3 linked regions of the Caenorhabditis elegans genome follow. The protein of the gene in region 2 binds, or shares a complex with, the protein of the main gene of each other region. Each region holds a gene or a part of one and is shown on either strand. Other genes may lie near its edges.

What was found. The genes of interacting proteins can lie anywhere in the genome.
Region 1: dyb-1 (region 2) and dys-1 share a complex: the UniProt entries of both Caenorhabditis elegans proteins name them as parts of the dystrophin glycoprotein complex.
Region 3: dyb-1 (region 2) and stn-1 share a complex: the UniProt entries of both Caenorhabditis elegans proteins name them as parts of the dystrophin glycoprotein complex.

Annotation. Positions count from the first base shown.
Region 1 is NC_003279.8:11,554,844-11,559,597, forward strand, and holds the start of dys-1 (Dystrophin-1), read right to left. Parts: upstream 3,009-4,754; 5' UTR 2,950-3,008; coding exon 2,880-2,949; intron 1,945-2,879; coding exon 1,625-1,944; intron 1,460-1,624; coding exon 1,335-1,459; intron 760-1,334; coding exon 644-759; intron 1-643. Other genes in the region: F15D3.9 (SAM-dependent methyltransferase), read left to right, coding at 3,192-3,212, 3,578-3,802. UniProt on the Caenorhabditis elegans protein: Plays a role in cholinergic transmission and as a functional partner of dystrobrevin (dyb-1), necessary for muscle maintenance. Required for neuronal positioning. May play a role in the localization of slo-1 near dense bodies in the muscle.
Region 2 is NC_003279.8:1,481,090-1,489,094, forward strand, and holds the start of dyb-1 (Dystrobrevin-1), read left to right. Parts: upstream 1-1,993; 5' UTR 1,994-2,016; coding exon 2,017-2,146; intron 2,147-3,629; coding exon 3,630-3,787; intron 3,788-3,833; coding exon 3,834-3,970; intron 3,971-4,764; exon of another isoform or gene 4,765-4,836; coding exon 4,837-4,922; intron 4,923-4,966; coding exon 4,967-5,162; intron 5,163-6,089; coding exon 6,090-6,321; intron 6,322-6,517; exon of another isoform or gene 6,518-6,538; intron 6,539-6,679; coding exon 6,680-7,006; intron 7,007-7,334; coding exon 7,335-7,586; intron 7,587-7,978; coding exon 7,979-8,005. UniProt on the Caenorhabditis elegans protein: Plays a role in cholinergic transmission and as a functional partner of dystrophin (dys-1), necessary for muscle maintenance. Required for localization of ctn-1 near dense bodies in muscle cells.
Region 3 is NC_003279.8:9,499,566-9,505,681, forward strand, and holds stn-1 (Syntrophin-1), read left to right. Parts: upstream 1-1,702; 5' UTR 1,703-1,756; coding exon 1,757-1,852; intron 1,853-3,310; coding exon 3,311-3,432; intron 3,433-3,873; coding exon 3,874-4,789; intron 4,790-4,837; exon of another isoform or gene 4,838-4,900; coding exon 4,901-4,996; exon of another isoform or gene 4,997-5,162; coding exon 5,163-5,255; 3' UTR 5,256-5,266; exon of another isoform or gene 5,267-5,267; coding exon of another isoform or gene 5,268-5,411; intron 5,412-5,442; 3' UTR 5,443-5,593; downstream 5,594-6,116. Other genes in the region: F30A10.9 (PIN domain-containing protein), read right to left, coding at 5,268-5,411, 5,594-5,751, 5,803-5,951, 6,006-6,071. UniProt on the Caenorhabditis elegans protein: Adapter protein that binds to and probably organizes the subcellular localization of a variety of membrane proteins. May link various receptors to the actin cytoskeleton and the dystrophin glycoprotein complex (DGC).

The DNA.
Region 1 (4,754 bases), about 10 Mb from region 2:
TATGTACCTATCTTGTGCCTACCTACCTATTACGGGACCATGAGATGAATGCCTATTTACTGGCGCGAAAATATTGACAGGCCGCGGCAGCGAGAGAGCATATGGCGAAGAGAGACGCCGGTCCCTTCGCTACGAGATATTTGCCGCCAGAAAAGTAGGCATTCTCATGATCTCATTGTCCCGTAATACCTACCTACTTGCCTTCGCGCCTACTTATAACCCATTTTGACTTACCGCATTGAAGCTCTAACTCAAGTGAATTACTGGAAAATAGATAATTCAGTGTTGACAGTTCTTGTAGGAAGGAAAGTCTTCATCACTGCCTGCCTGCCTACACGCTTGCCTATCAGTTTTTTAAAACCTACTAGGCAGTCAGGTAGTCAATCTTGTGCCTAGGCGTAAAACTGCTGTAACTCGGCTCAAAATCTTCATTTTCAAATAAAATAAAAAGTGAATGATTTCAAAAATTTTCAAAAACTTTCAAAATTGAGAAACAAAAATTTTGACCGCAGCGGGGGGTCGAACCCTGGTATGTTTTTCCGTAGCTGTGCACCTATTCTCCACTAAGCCACTTTGCCCAAAACAGTTTTTTCGTGGTTTTTCAGCGTAGAATTCGATTTTTTTTTTGGTTAGAAATAGTAACCTTTTGGATTCAGAAGCCTTGGCACATTCCATGTCTTTTCAGCGACAGCAAAAGCGTTTTCAATCCTGTCGATGGCACTCATTTCGGCGGTTTTTGTGAGGTTTATCAGTTTTCGGCTGAAAATGTTCAGGATTTCGGGCTCGAAACTATATTAACTGTGTTTGTCGCACTGAGAGCTTTCATTTGAGTATAATCATGATTAGTTTTGGAAAAAGTTGAATCCCGCCACGAAAATCACATGGGTACTGTAGTTTTCGCGGCGAGACCCTCTCTAAAATTCTTTTTGATGGGGTTCTCGAGTTCTACACGCCGAAACCTTTCAAATGACACCCATATTGCTATACTTTAAAATATTAAATTCCAGGGCCTATGTTTTCCAAATTTGAAGTCCCAGTGAGTTTTCTAGGCCATGTAGTGAAAAGTTAGGCCACCAGCTTGAACATTTCGGAGCCTAGGCATTATGGGTGTCAAATAGACTGTAATGAAATGTTGAATTTAAATTTGATATTGAATTAAAAAAAAATAAGATTAAAAGTTGTTTTGGAAAATTTAGAATTGAAAAAATCCAAAAAAATGTGTTTTTTTTTTGAAATTTTTGAATTTTTTTTCGAATAAAACCATGTTTCATGGAATCTAGAAACTCTTGAAAAACTGATTATCAATAAATTAATTTCTAATGAAAAACCCTTACTCATAAGAATGTATGAGGTAATTGAAGGCATGGCCGTCCCGGAAGGAAGATGTAAAGTCGTAGACGTCAATTTCTTCGTATGATTTCATGACTTCAATGCACCATTGTTTGATGGCTTCGGAGAGCTGAAATTTGAAAATTTAATAGAAAAAATTCTAGGAAAAAAATTTTAAAAAAAATTTTCGAAATTTTTTTTTTCAAAATTTTTTATTTATTTTTTAATTTTTCAAACCCCCGTAACTTTATCAATTTTAAAGATTTCCACTTGATTTTACACTCAAAAAACTCACCTTTTCCTCCCGTAACTGCACGGGTGCATTATTTTTCCAGAAAAACTGAACAAGCTGCCACCAGGCTGAGAGCACCGCTTTCTGCTGCCCTTCCATAACTTCCTGCGGATTCGTCTTGGAATCCCCGATATTTTGCAAAACATTAGGCCAATCGTCGGATGGATTACCCAGTACAGCCATAGTCTGTCCAATAATTGCTTGGTAGACAAAAATCGCGTTTGAACCATCTTGAAGGCTTTTGTAATCGGTTAGACGTTCTGTTCCGAGCAGGTGATTGGCCCAGCGCACGAATACCCACTCTTGGAGCTCATTTTTTGGGTCTGAAAATTTTATTCATAGCTTTTAACGTTCAAATTCAAATTTTCCGTCAAAAACTCTACAAATCGGTTTTTGAAAAATCGAAAAATATGAATTTTGAGCAGATTTACAGTTTGGTGGCCTAGTTTTAGATTTCTAGGCCAGCAAAATTTCTAGATCAGCATAAAATATGTTCAACAGAGTATTGGTGGCAACAGTTAGTTCTCTTCAAGAAGTTTGCTAGAAAAATGGCATTTGTTAACTAGTGGCCTAGAAATCCAAATTCAGGCCACCCAATTTGACTCGCTGGCCTAGGTTTGCTTTTTCTAGGCCACAAAAATAATTTTTCATTATTACAATGCTTTTCACTGACTTCTGCACGTTCATAGCTTTCACATGACACCAATATTGCCATACTTTGGAAATTTTATTCCATGGCCTAACTTTTCAGTTGGTGGCCTAGAATTTTTACTTTTTTAGAAATTGCTAAATTTTATGAAATTAAATTTTAAGAAGCACACAATATTACTGTTTCACTTTAAAATTCTACAAATTTTATCTTACTGGCAAAATTTAAAATTGGTCGCCTAGAAATTCCTCGGCCACCAACAACTTAAAACTCCCAGAACCTATTTGAAATTCAATTTTTGAATTTTTGAATACTCCTAACAAGGAATAAAAACTAAGAACATTTCAAAAATCTGAGCGTCTAAAGTCCAGGCCCAAATGCATTTTCTCGGTCACGGCTTGAAAAGTTAGGCCACCAACTCAAAATAGTCGGATCCTAGGCATGATGGCTGTCAAATTGAAGGTCTCGGTAAGACAGAAACAAATATAAAATAAATGTATGCTGAAAACTATGTTGGTGGCCTGGAAAATCAAAAAAGGTAAATTTCTATGCCATTTTTCGGGGATTTTTCTTTTTTTTTTTGTCTTAAAAATTTTTCAAAAAACTCACCGCGATCACTTTTCTTGTCCTTTTTCTCGTCTTTTTTCGGTTTCGCAGTCGAGGCGCCCGAGAATAACATGGTGTTGTTGCACTTTTTCGTTCGTTTTCGCCTATTCTATACACCAATTGGCATCTGAAATTGGGATTTTTATTAGAAAAAAAAATTAAGTTGTAGAATATAAAATTATTTTTAAAAAACGTGGGGTTATTCTAGAAGTTTTCCAAAAAATAAAAGTTACGAAAAAAGAACGAAATTTTCTGGAAAATTTTTTATTTCTAAAAAAAAATTCAAAGAATTCAAAGAAAAAAATATTGCTAAAAATGAGTAACAGTGACAAAAGTGTAAGTTTTTCTATTTTAGTTTTTCTAATTTCAAAAAATTTAGAAAATTTGAAGAAAAATTTAAAAACGAAATATTGGTGGCCTAGTTTTAGTTTTCTAGGCGACCAATTCGAGTTTTTCAAGTAGATTTTTGTGAAGAGCTAATTGTGAGTAAACCCTTTAATTTGACAATATATTGATTTAAAATTTAAAGTTGGTGGCCTAGAAAAACATAGGCCACCAACGAAAAAAAAACCAAAATGGGTGAAGCTCTATTCATGTTAAATTTAACGTGACACATCAACATTTAAAAAAAAATCAAGCTGATTTTAGTGGCCTAGAGAACCAATCCTAGGCCAGCAACACAAGAAAATTTGAATTTCTAGGCCACCGAAGCCAGTTCTGCGAAGACAATTTGGACGCATTGTGCGAACGACGGGTCGGACAGAAGCATTTTATCCGATTGGATGGATCACAGTTTTGGAGCAGAAAAAGAGCACAATTTGGAGCATGATTTGACGGAATTTGCGCAAATTCCTTTTCGTTGTGCAAATGACTATGAGATTTGTGCGAAACAATCGGAATATGCATTTGATATCTCTAATTATTGATTTTTTCAAAATAAAAATTTTGAAGGAAAATACAAAAATTCAACAAAAAATATGGCTTGAAAAAACTGAAAATGATAATTTTCAGCCAAGTTAGAGCCTTGTGAAGTTGATAGTCTAGAAATTTTCTAGGCCACCAACTTCAAATTTCTCTAATTTGGCTCAATCATCTTGGGTCTAACAAAAACTTTTTTAAAATCATTTCAATAAAAAGGGATATATTTTTAAAAAAAGCATGTGGCCTAAACTTTTTCATGGACAAAGTTCTAGGCCACGAAATCGAAAAGTTAGGCCATGAAAAAGATGAGGCAAAATATGAGTGTGACTACTGAAAGTTTGGAACGTGTGTGAAATTCATCGGAAAAGTTGAAAGAAAAATTGGTGGCCTAGAACATCAAAACTAGGCCAGCAACTGAAATTGTGTGGCCTAACCAAATCTTTCAATTAAACATTCCAGAAAATCCTAGGCCATCTAATTCAAATTCGCAAAAAATGTTTTAATTTTAAGTTAAAAGAAAGCAACTTGAATTTTCGAAATTCTAAGCCACCATACCAAAAATGTCAAGCTTTTAAATTCAAGTTCGGCTGCCTAGAAAACAAAAACTAGGCCATCAAATATATTTTTAACAGACTTGGAAGCAATTTTTAACCTCAAAAACACAAAAAAATAATAACGGCACGTCTACCACACTCTCGTAGGAAATAGTAATGGAAAAGTGTGTGTGTGTGCTCCCGGAGCATTCCCGTGTGTGCACGAGGGGACCCCTCAATCCGTCAGCTGCCGTCGTCAGTCAATTGTTACAATGCACCATCCTCTTGGACATACCCCAACGGCATTTGATGATGATTCGGACATTTCCTGGGAGCTGCTACTTTTGCTGATGTGCTCCGCGAGCTCTACTATCAAAATTTTAGAGGGGACATTTGAGAATTGGGTTGTTAAATGGAACGGGTG
Region 2 (8,005 bases):
TAGCAGTTTTTTGTGTAAAATTCGTGTAGATCACGGGTAGATCACACAATTTATCTCTTATTTCGTATTTCTGTTTTTTTTTTTTTTTTTTTTTCATTTTGATCTACATCAGGGGTGGGCGGCAAACGATTTTTCCCGGCAATCGGCAAACCGGCAAATTGCCGGAATCGAAAACTTCCGGCAAATCGGCATACCAGCAGTTTGCCGATTTGCCGAATTTGTCGACAAATTAATTTGTCGCCCACCCCTGATCTACACGAATTTTAAACAAAAAAAAACATTCCGCATAAAACCGCCTCCTTTTAAAATTGTGAAAGTGGAGAAACAAACACACGTTAAGCCAAAATTTCTTTCATTTCGTGGCCTAGAAAATCCAAAAACTTAGGCCACTAATTTTCTCTTCCTCATCCACTTCGTAATATCCCTGTGTATAATGCGTATACTTTTACACCTCATTGAGTTGAGACGGATGGGGTGAGGGGTCCCAATGTTTCAGTGGGGGCCCCCTATCTCTTTTTCTCTGCACTCTCTCTCTCTCTCTCTCTCTCTCTCTCTCTCTCTCTCTCCATCTTTCTCCGTATGCTCACATTCATCCCACCGCTGCTCTCTGAGCCAATACGTCTCCCCCCCCCCCCTCCTCTCCTTTTGCACATCGATCCGTCTTGTGTCTCTCTTTCTCTAATACTCTCTATTTCTCTAAGTCTCTCTCTCTCACTCACGTTTGCCTAAATTCACTTTCTCCAGTGTTCCCTTGAGTGCTCCGAGAGCAAAAGCGTATACCACGAATTAATTTTTAATTCGTGTATTTTTGGCTCGATTTTCCCTTTTTTTTCAACATTTTTCTAAAAATTATTGCTGCAATCGCGCTTTAATGGCAATATTACCTGAAAATTCGTATGTTGTTGCAATGCAATCGCGCTCTATTGGACAAATTTTTAATCCGAATTTTGAAGTTTTCTTTAGTGGAAATCTCTATTGAAATTTTTTTATAAATTGTTTATACAAACACGCTCTAATGATAAAAAGGCTTTAAATTGTGTACTCCGCGTGGAAAAAAGCAAGTTTTTTGTTGTATTTTTTGAAAATATTTTTTTTAAAGAACTTTTTTTGAATACTCTGTGTAGTTCTCGTGGACAAGTTTGGGCCTATTTCGCTTAAAAACCTGAAACACGCGAAATTCCAGTTTCGGGGGATTTCAACTACCCGATTAGAAAAAAAACTTTTTTCACAAATTCAATTTCTGCCGAATCAAAATTCTCCGGAATTCAAGTTTCCGCGAATTTCAACCTAAAAAAATTTTAGCTCAAAAACCGTAAGGTAGTTGAAATCCACGGAAACGAAAATTCCGGCGAATCAAGTTTCCGTGGATTTCAACGCTTATTGAACAAATTTCTACAAAACGCCCCCGGGAGTTCAAATCCGCGGAATCGAAATTCCCTGGGATTTTGATTTACCGGGATTCAAGTGGTGTCAATGGGAGAGGAAATGCATTTTCTCTTACGCGCGTGGTGTCAGAGTGTCTCATTTCGGTTTGATCTACGTAGATCTACAAAAAATGAGGGAAAAGAAGAGACGCAGAGTTCTCAACTGATTTCTCATTCCCGCATTTTTTGTAGATCAAGCCGTAATGGGACAACCTGATACCACGTGACCGTTATTATTTTTCTCTCAATCCTGAGATTTAAAATCCCGCGGAGTCGAAATTCCCCAAAAATATTTTTTGTACTCCTCGTGGACAACCTCGTTGGTTCCCTGAAACATATTGGCTTAGTAATGTGCCAAGCAAATCAGCGCGCATACATGCAAAACCCATTAGGCTCCCCCCAAATGTCTTCTCTCCCAGAGTTAGACTCCGCCCACTAGGAGCCAGAGCTCCCCCAATTTTCTTTGTTTTAAACCCTACCACTTTTTAGCTCTGGCCAGCCATTTTGTGGGTGGAGTTTTGGTTTAAATTTTTTTAAAATTGATTTAAAATTTAAATTTTAAATTTCAGACACTCTGGGTTTTTCTCCTGAAATGTTGTGGTCAAATGGTGGAGGAGGACCACGTGAGCCGAGCAGTGCACCATCACCAGACCATCATCGTGCAATGCATTCTGTACCACCAATTGTGGCATCTGAAATGCAACAATTGATTGATGAAATGCGTGGGTGTTCAATTTTGCGGGAAAATTGGCTAAAAAACGCTAAAAAATTCCCGCGTTTTTGATTCTCCGGAATTTTAACTTCTATGGGATTATTTTTCGGTGGATTCGAATTTTCGGAAATTTTCAATAAATCTTTTTTCATTAGAGATTTTCAAAGAAAAAGTAGAAAAAATACCTAACTATGTAAAAAAAATTAACGGAAAATCTCCACGTTTCTAAGTCTTCGGAATTTAGATTTCCCTGGAATTAAGTACTCGGTGGATTTGAATTTACGGGATTTTTTTTCTTTAAAATTTTTTTCAAATTTATGTTCAAGTTAGCACAGCAAAAAAATTTTTTTTTTAATTCACGTTTTTGAATCTACGGAATCCAATTTCCCTGGAATTTCGCTTCCGCGTATTTGGATTTCTGAGTTTTTAAATATAAATTTTTGCAGAAAATGTGAAAATTACGTGGAAACTCAAAATTCGCCGAAAAAGGACAAAAAATCTCGAGTTTCCAATTTAGCGGAATAAAAATTCCCGGGAATTTTGTTTCCGTGGATATTAACTACCCAAATTTTTTACCATTTTTCTCAATTCCAATTTCAATTTTTTCATGGAAAAATTGGTTAAAAAACGCAAAAAATTCCCGCGTTTTTGATTCTCCGGAATTTTATTTTCTCTGGGATTTTTTTTCGGTGGATTTGAATTTTCGGAAATTTTCAAAGAAAAAGTAGAAAAAATACCTTATTATGTAAAAAATTAACGGAAAAATTTCCACGTTTCTAAGTCGTCGGAATTTAGAGTTCCCTGGAATTAAGTACTCTGTGGATTTGAATTTACTGGATTTTTTAAAACAAAATTTATACGAAATGCTCAAAGTTGATACACTCTCCAAAATGTTCATGAAATTTACAAGTTAACACAACAAAAAATGTCAAAAAACTCCGCGTTTTCAAATCCCCCATTATCGAAATTTCACGGGAATCCAGATTCCAGGGAATTTGGCATTCGGGGAATAAAATTTTCGGATTTTTTTCTATGAAAATTAGTCAGGGTCTGGATAAAATAACAAACGAGTGGAAGCAAAAATTTCGCCGCAAAAAGAACAAAAAACTCGAGTTTCCAATTCCGCGGCATAAAAATCCCGTGAATTTTGTTTCCGCGGATATCAACTACCCGACTTTTTTAAAAACATTTTTTCTCAATGCTCAATGTTGTCGAAAAAACACGGAAATACCTTCAAAAAAAATCCAAAAAAAAAACCCTAAAAATTCCGGTATCCAATTCTACAGAATCGAAAATTCCCTAAGAATTTTGTGGATATCAACTACCCGAGTTTTTTTTTGAAAATTCATGAATTTTTCCGCTACTCCTCTTGAGAAAGGGAAGCTTATAAATAATTCTTCTTTGCGAAAAAGTGCAAAAAAATTATTGGCTTTCATTGGTTAATGCCCAAAGTTCAGAAAAAAAGTTGAATCATCAATAGAGCGCATTTTCAGGTCTCCAAGATTTCGACTCCATCAGATTTGCCACGTATCGAGCCGCCTGTAAACTGCGATTTATTCAACAAAAGACGAAAGTTCATTTGGTAGATATTTGGAATATGATTGAAGCTTTTCGAGAAAACGGACTCAATGCATTACCCCTACATACTGTGGTATGTTGCAAGTGTGCTCTATTGAGAATGTGGGGGAAATTTTCAGATCAAAACGTCACGCGCCGAGCTTCTGCTAACTACAGTATTCCACAATTTGAATAAAAGACTTGTAGCGTCACAACATGTGGACACGGATGTATCGATTTCTTTGCTACTCGCGTTTTTGTTAGGTGCTTATGATAAGTGAGTTTTGGACTCCTCTCGGACAAAAAACTCACGCTTCTGAATCCCCGGAACCCAGATTCCCCAGGAATTTAGATTCGGCAAATTCGAAATTCTAAGAATTTTTTCTTGTGTTACTGCGTGAAAACTGTGTATTTAGAATTCCAATTTTTACTGCAAAAAATAACGAAAAATATTCGGGTTTTCGTGTCTCCAGAATCTAGATTCCCTAAGAATTTTGATTCCGCGTATTGGAATCTACGGGATTCAATCTACACATGTTCTGTAAATAACAGAAATTTTGGTAATATATGAAAAAATTTAAAATCCTAAAACTGAAAGAAAATTTCCGGTTTTCGGATCCGCGGAATTTCACATTCCACCGGAATTTGGTTCCCACAGATTTCAACTATCCGAAATTTTTTCTGTTTTTTTTTGTTTTCAGCATAATGTTTTGATTTTTCAAAAATGAAAATTGACTGAAAGAGCAGAAAAAATCTCAGGGTTTCATATCTCTGGAATTAAAATTTCCCAGTGAATTTTTATTCATATAAGGACACTTTGCAAAAAAATTTTTTTTTGATAAAGTCACGGATTTCTGGCTTCCCTCATAAATTGAAATGGAAGAGTTTTTGCCGAACTAGGCCAGTAGATTTACGGCGCGTTGCGTGTCGCGTCGCGGCTCGATTTTAGTTGTAAAACTAAATGTATTTGTCCGTGTGGAGTACACGACTTTCCCGTCCGGCAGGCGATTATCAATGGAGCGCGAAAAATTCAATGAGGAAGGCCAAAACCCCGTGCGCAGTTAGGCTGTAATTCTCACAACGACACTCCGATATTCCGCTACCTAGAAGTGACGTCACACGCTTCAAAAGCCAATTTTTCAGACAAAATACCGGACGTTTGACGGTTTTTTCAATAAAAGTCGCGTTGGCAACACTCTGCGCTGGAAAATTGGTGGACAAGCTGAGATGTGAGTTGCGCTTGCGAATTTCAAAAAAAAATCTGAAATTTCAGACATTTTCTCTCAAATCGCTGATTCGAATGGATTAATGGATCATATTAAATTTACTGATTTTTTGCAACAAATCCTCTCCCTAACCACTGCAGTTTTCGAAGCACCGACGTTTGGATTTTCCGAAAACGCGGTTAATCAGTGCTTTCATAAGGATGAGAAAGTATCTTTGAATGTGTTTCTGGACACTTTTTTGAGGTAGATATCAATTTTGGAAATAAATAAAAAAATAGATTTTAGAAAAAGTTTTGAAAAAGTTTTGAAAAAATTAACCTTTTACACAAAACTACGTTAGCATGTGGTGCCAGGTTGTCCAATTACGGTTTGATCTACAAAAAATGCGGGAATTTTTTCGCCCAAAAAATGTGACGTCAGCACGTTCTTAATCATGTGAAATCAGTTGAGAACTCTACGTCTCTTCTCCCGCATTTTTTGTAGATCTACGTAGATCACGCCGAAATGAGACACTCTGACACCACGCGCGAAAGAGAAAATGCATTTCCTCTCCCATCGGGGGGAAAACCAGTCCCTCAACTCACCCAGAATAATAATTTAGGTGTCTTGGAAGTTCTGAAACACCTAACATTTTGAAAAATTAGAAAAAATAATAGACGTAGGGCTGAAGTCCTCCCGCGGCCACGTAAGGCATCCCCGTGGCCTAGGATTTTCAGAGCGGTGTAACTTTTGAAAAACTGTAAAAATTTTTTTTTAATTCTGCAATAATTGTATCTATAACTTATTCAATGAAACCAAATCAAAAAATCGAATTTTTCTTTTCATGGGGTCACGGGTCCCCACGCCGCCACCGAAGTCCTCGCCGTGGCCTAGAAACTTTCAAACAGTGCATCCCTAAAGCCACTGCGCCGATTTTCTTGAAACTTTATCAGAACACTTTATATAACAATTTCTATCAAATTATCAAATAAAATCGAATTTTAGTTGTCATGGGGTCACGGGTCCCCCCCCCCCCCCCACGGGGTGACCGAAGTTCTCACCGTGGCCTAGAATCTTCAAAATGGTGTAACTCTATAGCCACTGCGTTAATTTTCTTGAAAATTTATCAACCAACACTTTGAAACCTGTTCTGTCAAATTATCAAAAAATCATACAAAATTAATATTCCAGCGATCCATGTCCCCCATGCATAATGTGGCTCCCCTTGCTACATCGAATGGCGTCTGTGAGCAACGTGTACCATCCGGTGGTGTGTGATGCGTGTCAAGTCAGAAGTTTCACAGGATTTCGGTATAAATGTCAGCGATGCGCCAATTATCAGTTGTGTCAAAGCTGTTTTTGGCGGGGAAGGACGAGTCAAAATCATTCAAATGAGCACGAGATGAAAGAATATTCCAGCTATGTGAGTTTTTTGAAAAATCGATTTTCCACGTGGAGTACACGAAAATGTATCTATAAAGCGCGCGATAAAATTATTGATTTTCCGCCGGCGATGAAGAATCGATAAAATTATTGATTTTCCGCCGGCAATCAAAAAAATCGATAAAGTTATCGATTTTCATTCGACAAAAACGATTAGTTAACAGAGAAATTATCAATTGCTGGACAACAAACAATCAATAAAAATGTAGATTTTCCGCCGGCAATCAAAAATCGATGAAATTATTGATTTTCCGCCGGGCAAAAAAAAAATCGATAAAATTATGGAAAAAAGCGTTCTCAACTCCAAAATCAATAAATCAATAACTTAGTAATTTCAGAAATCGCCGACAAAACAGCTCGTACACTCAATTCACAAAAGTCTCCAATGTATTCCTGCCACGTCAACCGTCGGCGATGCAAACATCGATATTTTTAACGCAAAAATCGGTGGCCCGGTCAGCAGCAAACCTGCTCGACCGCTAAACCTGAACAACATCGTCCCGGCGACACCGACGACGATCCGCCGGCAACACGCTGCCACGTCATCAGCGGACTGGCCGACGTCACCGGTACTTCTGCCGGGACAGGCGTCGCATGGAGGAGTTATTGATGATGAGCATAAGCTTATTGCGAGATATGCAGCAAAGTTGTCGGGAAGGGCTGATGTGAGTTTTTAATCGAAAAAAATCAGGAAAAAATCAATAAAAATCTTGATTTCCCGCCGGCAATAAAAATCGATAAAAATCTTGATTTTCCGCCGGCAATAAAAAAAATCGATAAACATCTTGATTTTCCGACGGCAAACAAAAAAAATCAATAAAATTATTGATTTTCCGCCGGCGATAAAATTCGATTAAATTATTGATTTTCCGCCGGCAATCAAAAAAATCGATAAAATTATTGATTTTCCGCCGGCGGCAGAAAGTCAAATTATTGATTTAATAAAATTTGATCGATTATCGATTTTTCTTTTTAAAAATCAATAAATTGCAGTATCCCCTATCAAACGGTCGAAGTATGAATAGTTCAATGGTCGGAGACGAACGGACCCTTATTGCTCAACTGGAAGAAGAAAATTCAATGATGGTACGGGAAATGGCTCGACTGGAGAGCCAAACAACTTCCGATGACGGGCTCGCCGGGCTCCGCGACCGGAAAATGGAATTGGAAGAGAAAATGTTTGAAATGCAACAGAGGAGGAGAGAATTAATGATGCAATTGGAGCATTTAATGGCTCAGTTGAATGTAGGTCATACCTACTGTGGCTAACGCGCTCTATAGATAAACAATGTAAAAATCGATAATTTTGCAGAATTCAAAAACAATCGTTATATTTTCCTCCAAATTTAGAAAAAATACTTGATAATTTTCAAAAAATTCGAAAAATCGATAATTTTTATATTTTAAGAAAACAAAGTTTTTGGAGTTTTTGATTTTCCGCCGGAGATAAAATCGATAAAATTATTGATTTTCCGCCGGCGATAAAAACCGATAAAATGTGTAAACCTGTCGATTTTTTAAGCTTCAGTAAAAATCAAAAATTCAATATCGGCTTTTCTGAAAAATTCAACCTTCAAAAAATCAATAAAATTAAATTATCGATTTTTTGATTTCAAAACAACAAAAACCTTTTCCAGACGGGACCCCAACCATCAGGAGGTGTA
Region 3 (6,116 bases), 8.0 Mb from region 2:
GTGGGGAGGGGAGGGAAGCTAATCCAGTTTTAGTTTCAGATTCTTCTGTTTTTGGTTTTAGTGCTCCAGATTTGTCAGCTTGTGATTCTGTTGGTTCTCGATCTGCTCGTGAAGTCGTCTCGTCGGTTGCCGGCAATGCTCGAAATGCTACTTGTGCAAATATAACTACGATTCATGTTACGGAGAGCAAGAGTTCGTTGAAGAAAAGCCACAGAAGACGTCGCCGTGTGGCAAAGAGTCGCCAATCATATACTTCTGGAAGTTCGCCAATCAAAGAAACCCATCTGGACCCCCTGCTGGAATCCGATGTTGCGAGTGACGGCGAGCGTTTCCAACCCGGCATCCTCCTGTGTCATTCTCTTCGACAGAGTCACCCACGACAAGTTGTGCGAGGATCAGCCCCAAACACTGATCATGCCTCCACTCGCCGCAGAGGTCGATATACCGCCTCTGGTCGTGATGCCCCTAGCCCAGGCATAATTTCTGGCTTTTTGTCATATAAGAGGGGAGATGTTGTGGACGGAACGTAAACCTGAACTTTATACAGACGTGACCTTTGGGTCATCATGAACTTATCGCGTAAGCGACCTCTCTTTATAATTCATTACTTCTTACACTTTCTTGTAATAAACTACTTCTCTCCTTGTCTCTCGCTCAATACACAACAAAGCTCAACGTCAAAAAATTGAGAAACAATAACTGGTGGAGGGGAGGGAGGGAAAAAGAAATCAGATACGGTCAATGATCTAAATGTTTGAAGAAAGATCAAGGAACAAGATTCTAAAATTATTCAATTTTTTCTCAAGTTTTTCAGAATTGTTTGACACAGAATAGAATAGCTTTTGGAAGAAAAAACATTGATGGATTTTCAGATGGATTTTCTATAGATTTTTAAAGATTGCATTTCTGCTGGGGTACTGTAGTTAGAGAGCTAAAGTATCTAGAGCAGCAATTGAAAATTAAATTTCATCACGAAAAACAGAACACCTAATAGTAATTTCAATTTATTTCGAAAATAGGAATTAAATTGGATAATATTTAACTTTCACTGTATAAAAAAAGTTGTAAAAGGGAATACTTCTGATTAATGTAGTAATTGCAATTGGTTGTAATATATCGTACGACACAGAAAACTACAACTACAACCAAATGAGAAAGAAAATAAAGAAAAGAATAAAGGATCAACTTGCTTCTTCTCTCTTCAACAATACAATTGCATGTGTTCGTCACGTAGTGTGTAAGTGTTCGTCTCGTGGCGGGAAGCCAACGGGATTCTTCGCCCAACACACAATCATAACCGATATAAATTCGAGGCACCAAGCTGAGAGTCAGATGGAAAAAGAAAGAGTGAGATGTAGAGAAAGAAGCGAGACTCGGAGTGCGCGGTAGAGTTCATCAGAGAGCATGTTAGGCAGAAGAGGGAGCAGGAGTGCCGTCGCACTAGCTCTCCGGCTTCATCCGACGGAGAAGAGAGCAGTTGAGAGAAGAAGAAAAACGAGGGGAAATAGAAGAGAGAGGACTCCTCTGCTGCTCCCACAGCCCAAATATTCTATTATTGCCCCTTTTCTTTCTGTTTCTTTGCTTCTTAGCATCTTTCTCTTCTGGTTTTTTTTCTCGCTTTCCTTCATTCCGCTACAAATCCTCCCGAATTTGAATTCAAATTTTTGGCATAAATTGGTATATGCAATATTCAACTTTACAGAGTACAATCGGCTCAATTTCGTAGTATTGCTCCGATTAGATCGGCGTCGTTTCGATGGCCGCCGTTCGATCCGGCCTGGTCGACATTTTTGTTCAGGGACAATGGCATCGTGTATTGGCTACTCTCGATCCAACTGCTATCACATTACAAGTAATTTTTTAATGATAAAATATTCCGAAAACTAGAAAACCACTGGAAATTATTGTAAAACAACTCATTTTTCGCGAAATTCTAAAAATAAATTGGATGGTTTCTAAAAACGAACAAAAATCTATATTTGAAACAATTATTGTTAAATAATTTAAATTTCGGTATAATAAAATATCATTCATTTTTCTAATGTGGAATGATACAAGTTGCTGAAAAATAGTGGTCGTTCTTATTAATACCAAAATGCGAAATTTTGCTATTCAAGACAAAAGAATACGGTACCGTGTCTCAACACGATCGAGCACGGGTTTCTGGCTCGACCCCTCGGTGTATTTTGTGCAAACACCGTCACGCGCAAATGCATACACTTTTTCAACGCGCTGCGTGAAAATTCCTCTTGCGATTTCAAAAAAATTTTCCCGCCATTTCAGCGTCCGATGGAGCGCGGGGTCGAGCCAGAACCTCGTATCGAGCAGTTATAAATAAATTTGTCGGAAAAGAATGTGCGCCTTTATGAAGTACAGTAGGCTCTAATCCTCACTATTTCGCAGACTGTTTCGTTTTAGAAAAAGCAGCTGCTGGAGATTGGGTCTGGAGATTACTGTAGGTTTTAAAGGCGCACACACATTTTTCACACCTTTAATCCTTTAATCTTTTTGTAAGTTTTCAGTCGTGTCGAGACCAGGCACCGTATTCTGGCGTCATAAAACATTTATTTTTTTACGAAATTACGTCGAACATAAGTTTTCTGATGCCCACGAACGAAATATATCATCTGAAGAGATCCATCTATGGAAACCAGAAACGGGAATGGGATCATATTACAAATAGTCTATGCTTCTTCTTCTTCTTTTCCTTTCGCCACATTTTGGCTCATTTTTCAAAAAAGGAGGCGAGTTGGCTATGAAAACTTATTAGTCGTTCTTGCTAGAAGAAAAAAGAAAGAATGGAATGAGGCTACTTAGAGATGAAGTTTGTATATGATACGACTTAAAAGGAGAAAACGGATGGAGAAAGGTATACTGTGACTACAATAATTATCTTCTTGGAGTCTATATGAACTCTTCGTTCCGACATATATTCTCAAGTATTAAAATGTGTATAACTCTTTTGCTTTCTTATCTTTCTCATCTCTGGTATGACAGTCCAACTGAAATTTTGGGAAAAGACAAAGAAAATATACCATTGCTTGTCAAAAAAGAAGTCGTCATGTCATCTACTCCCCCTTCTCCAAGTATTCCGTCAATCGAAGCTCCGGCTTTTGACAAATTGGTATGCCAGCTTGCATGATTTCATTTTACTCAGTCTCCTCCAAAAATTACATTAGCATGTGTGAATTTGTTTGAAATTGTTTAAAATTTGGTCGGGAAACGTGGAAGGGGATATTTATGAGCAAGGGAAGTGAAATCCAAAGAGAAATGGGTTCAAGCTGTGATGAATAAATATACTATTTTTCAGACAATGGAGCAGAATGAGGCTGAAGCAGAGAAACGGACAGTTCGAGTTGTGAAATATGATGGAAATGGATTAGGAATTTCAATTAAGGGAGGCAGAGACAACAACATGCCTATTGTGATCAGGTATGAATGAACTTGCGGAGATTTATACATCTCGTGTGCCATTTCGTGATTTTACGTCAATTTTGAAATTTTGATCTATGATAAATAATTTTTAGTTTTAATGACAAGGGCAATTCTCTAGAGAAAATTTTTATAATAACTGAAAAATGGAAGAATGGACTAGCAAACCTCGTACACAATCGTGTGTCGATTTACTCAGCGTGTGTACTCCCCGTGGAGAAGCATTTAATTTTTTCAGAAGATTTTACAGTTTTCGGTCAAAAACAGAAAGTATTTCCCGAATTATCCAAAATTAGGAATTTAAGGCGATAACTGTGAAATTGTTTGCAAAAATGTACACTTCTCCTCGGGCAGTACACACGATACGTAAATCGACACTTTTTTTTCTGAAATAGAATGTTTAATTTAGCAATTAAAGAACAAAATTAATTTCGATTGTAGCAAAATCTTCAAAGGAATGGCAGCGGATCAGGCTGGAGAACTATTTCTTGATGACGTCATTATCTCTGTGAATGGAGAAAACCTTCTCGATGCTTCACACGAAGAAGCTGTAAGAGCATTGAAACGAGCTGGACGGGTTGTTGACTTGCAAGTACAGTATAGAAGAGAGGATATGATGCATCGGGAAAATATTGTGGAAAATGTTGAATGGGATGATGATATTCGGGAACGAGTTAGAACAATTGGTTTAAAGCTTGCATATGTGGCAAGAGCTGGAATAGATGCAGATGCAGAAGGTAGAATTCTAGAAATGAGAAGTCCATCAGGAAGGTATTCCCTAGCAATGAGATGTTCAAGTAGTGAAGAAGCAGATGGATGGTTTGAAGCTTTACATGCCTGTACCACGTGTCTTCTGACTCAGGCACTGGCTCAAGTCAATATAATGCTCGGTAACAACCCCCAAGTGAGACATATGGGTTGGATTGCAGAACAAGTATCAGAAAATGGAATTTCAATGTGGAAACCTAAATTTATGACGCTTACGAATAGTGAGATCTTGTTCTATGAAGCTGTTCCACAGCTGAAAGCAGAATGGGCAGAGCCAAGACTAGTACGTCCTCTGGTGGCAACAAGAGTCGTTCAGACAAGTTCTCGAACTGCGCCAGTAATTAAAGGTCTCACTGATGTGATCTCTTTCCGTATGAGAACTGGAACTCAACAAGGTGTTCGGACACATACGATCCGGGTAGAAACTCATGCAGAACTGGCACGATGGGTTCGTGCAGTAGTGATCGGTGGATATGAAGCATGTCTTTCTACATCTCAAGTCTCTGCTCCTTGTCTTTGGCGAGGCGAATCATGCGAACTAATAGTTAATCTAGACAATGGAATATCATTACTTTCGTCGACTGGAGAGGTGAGCTCATTGGAATAATTTAGCAATAAGAAAGTGATAAACGTTTTCTAGATTAAAACAAAGATTTATAACATTTAGAGAAGCTACATTTTCTTAAAGCTTACAATTCAGGTACTGTGGCAACATTCGTTTGAAACGATTCGCGCCACCGGCGATGATGGTGGTCGTTTTCTCTGGGTCGATTTTGGACCACCACATGGTGAACAGGTAAAAATGGATTTTATTTTAACCTTAATTTCATACTTATAGAAAAAAAACGGATTTTTTTTGTGTAAAGTTTTTGAATAAAAAAAAGGATAGGCAACAAAACAATAAAAGCAGATCAACAAGTAATATTCAAAACAAAAGAAGCATAAATGAATGAAAAATTTAGGAATTGGATTTGCTAAATTCCGCAAAGCCAGTCGTGTTCATTCTTCATTCATTTCTCGCCACCAAGGTGTATCGATTAGGATTGTACGCGTGAAGCATCAAAAGGTTAGTTCATTGGAGCTCCATATGCATCAGGCATTCGCTCAATGGAGAATCTGTGATTGACAATGTACATGATCGGAACTCCTGGGATCTTTCGGATGCGGCGCTTCAGATCACGATCACAAGTGGCCACAATATAGCATTTATGCTGAAAATTATATTATTTTTTTCATTTTCAGATTCGTTATTTGTTCAAGTTTGCCAAACAAAAAGACTGCAGCAATACCACATTCCGTCTCCTGCCTCTTCTCGTCATAATAGATTTTATTCGTTTAAGATTTGTTAGATTTTATTAAATGAAAAACAATGAAAAATTATGAATAAACGAACCTGTGTAACTCTTTGAACCAAACAATCATCAGCATATGTTCCTTTGTGCTCACACTTCAGTCTCTGCACACGTGGATCTTTCAGAACTTTCAGAGCAATTTTGAATCTTCTCACTTTTTCCAATTCAGCCAATACACAGTCAGTTGCGTACACAATAGCTGAATTATTGTGATAAAATACAAGAAAACGAAAGAAAGTGTATGACTCACTTTTCGCGAACAGACAATCCATGAATCCTTGAAACATGTCAATGCGATTTTTGACGGCGAAATTCACAAAATTGGTATCGACAATAACGTGAAATGGTGGACCCAGCTGTGTATTGTATTTCATAAACATAGCGGATGAGATTTTTGGACTGAAATTATGAATTATTATTGTCTGGACACATATTCGTACGAATAAAACTTACGCACGGACCAATTTGAGTTCTTGTTCATCTACTTTCGGTGTTCTAATGACTCTTTGTTCTTCTTTTCTGAAATATTGCGTTTTAAATCAAGGTTATTCGATAAAATTATCG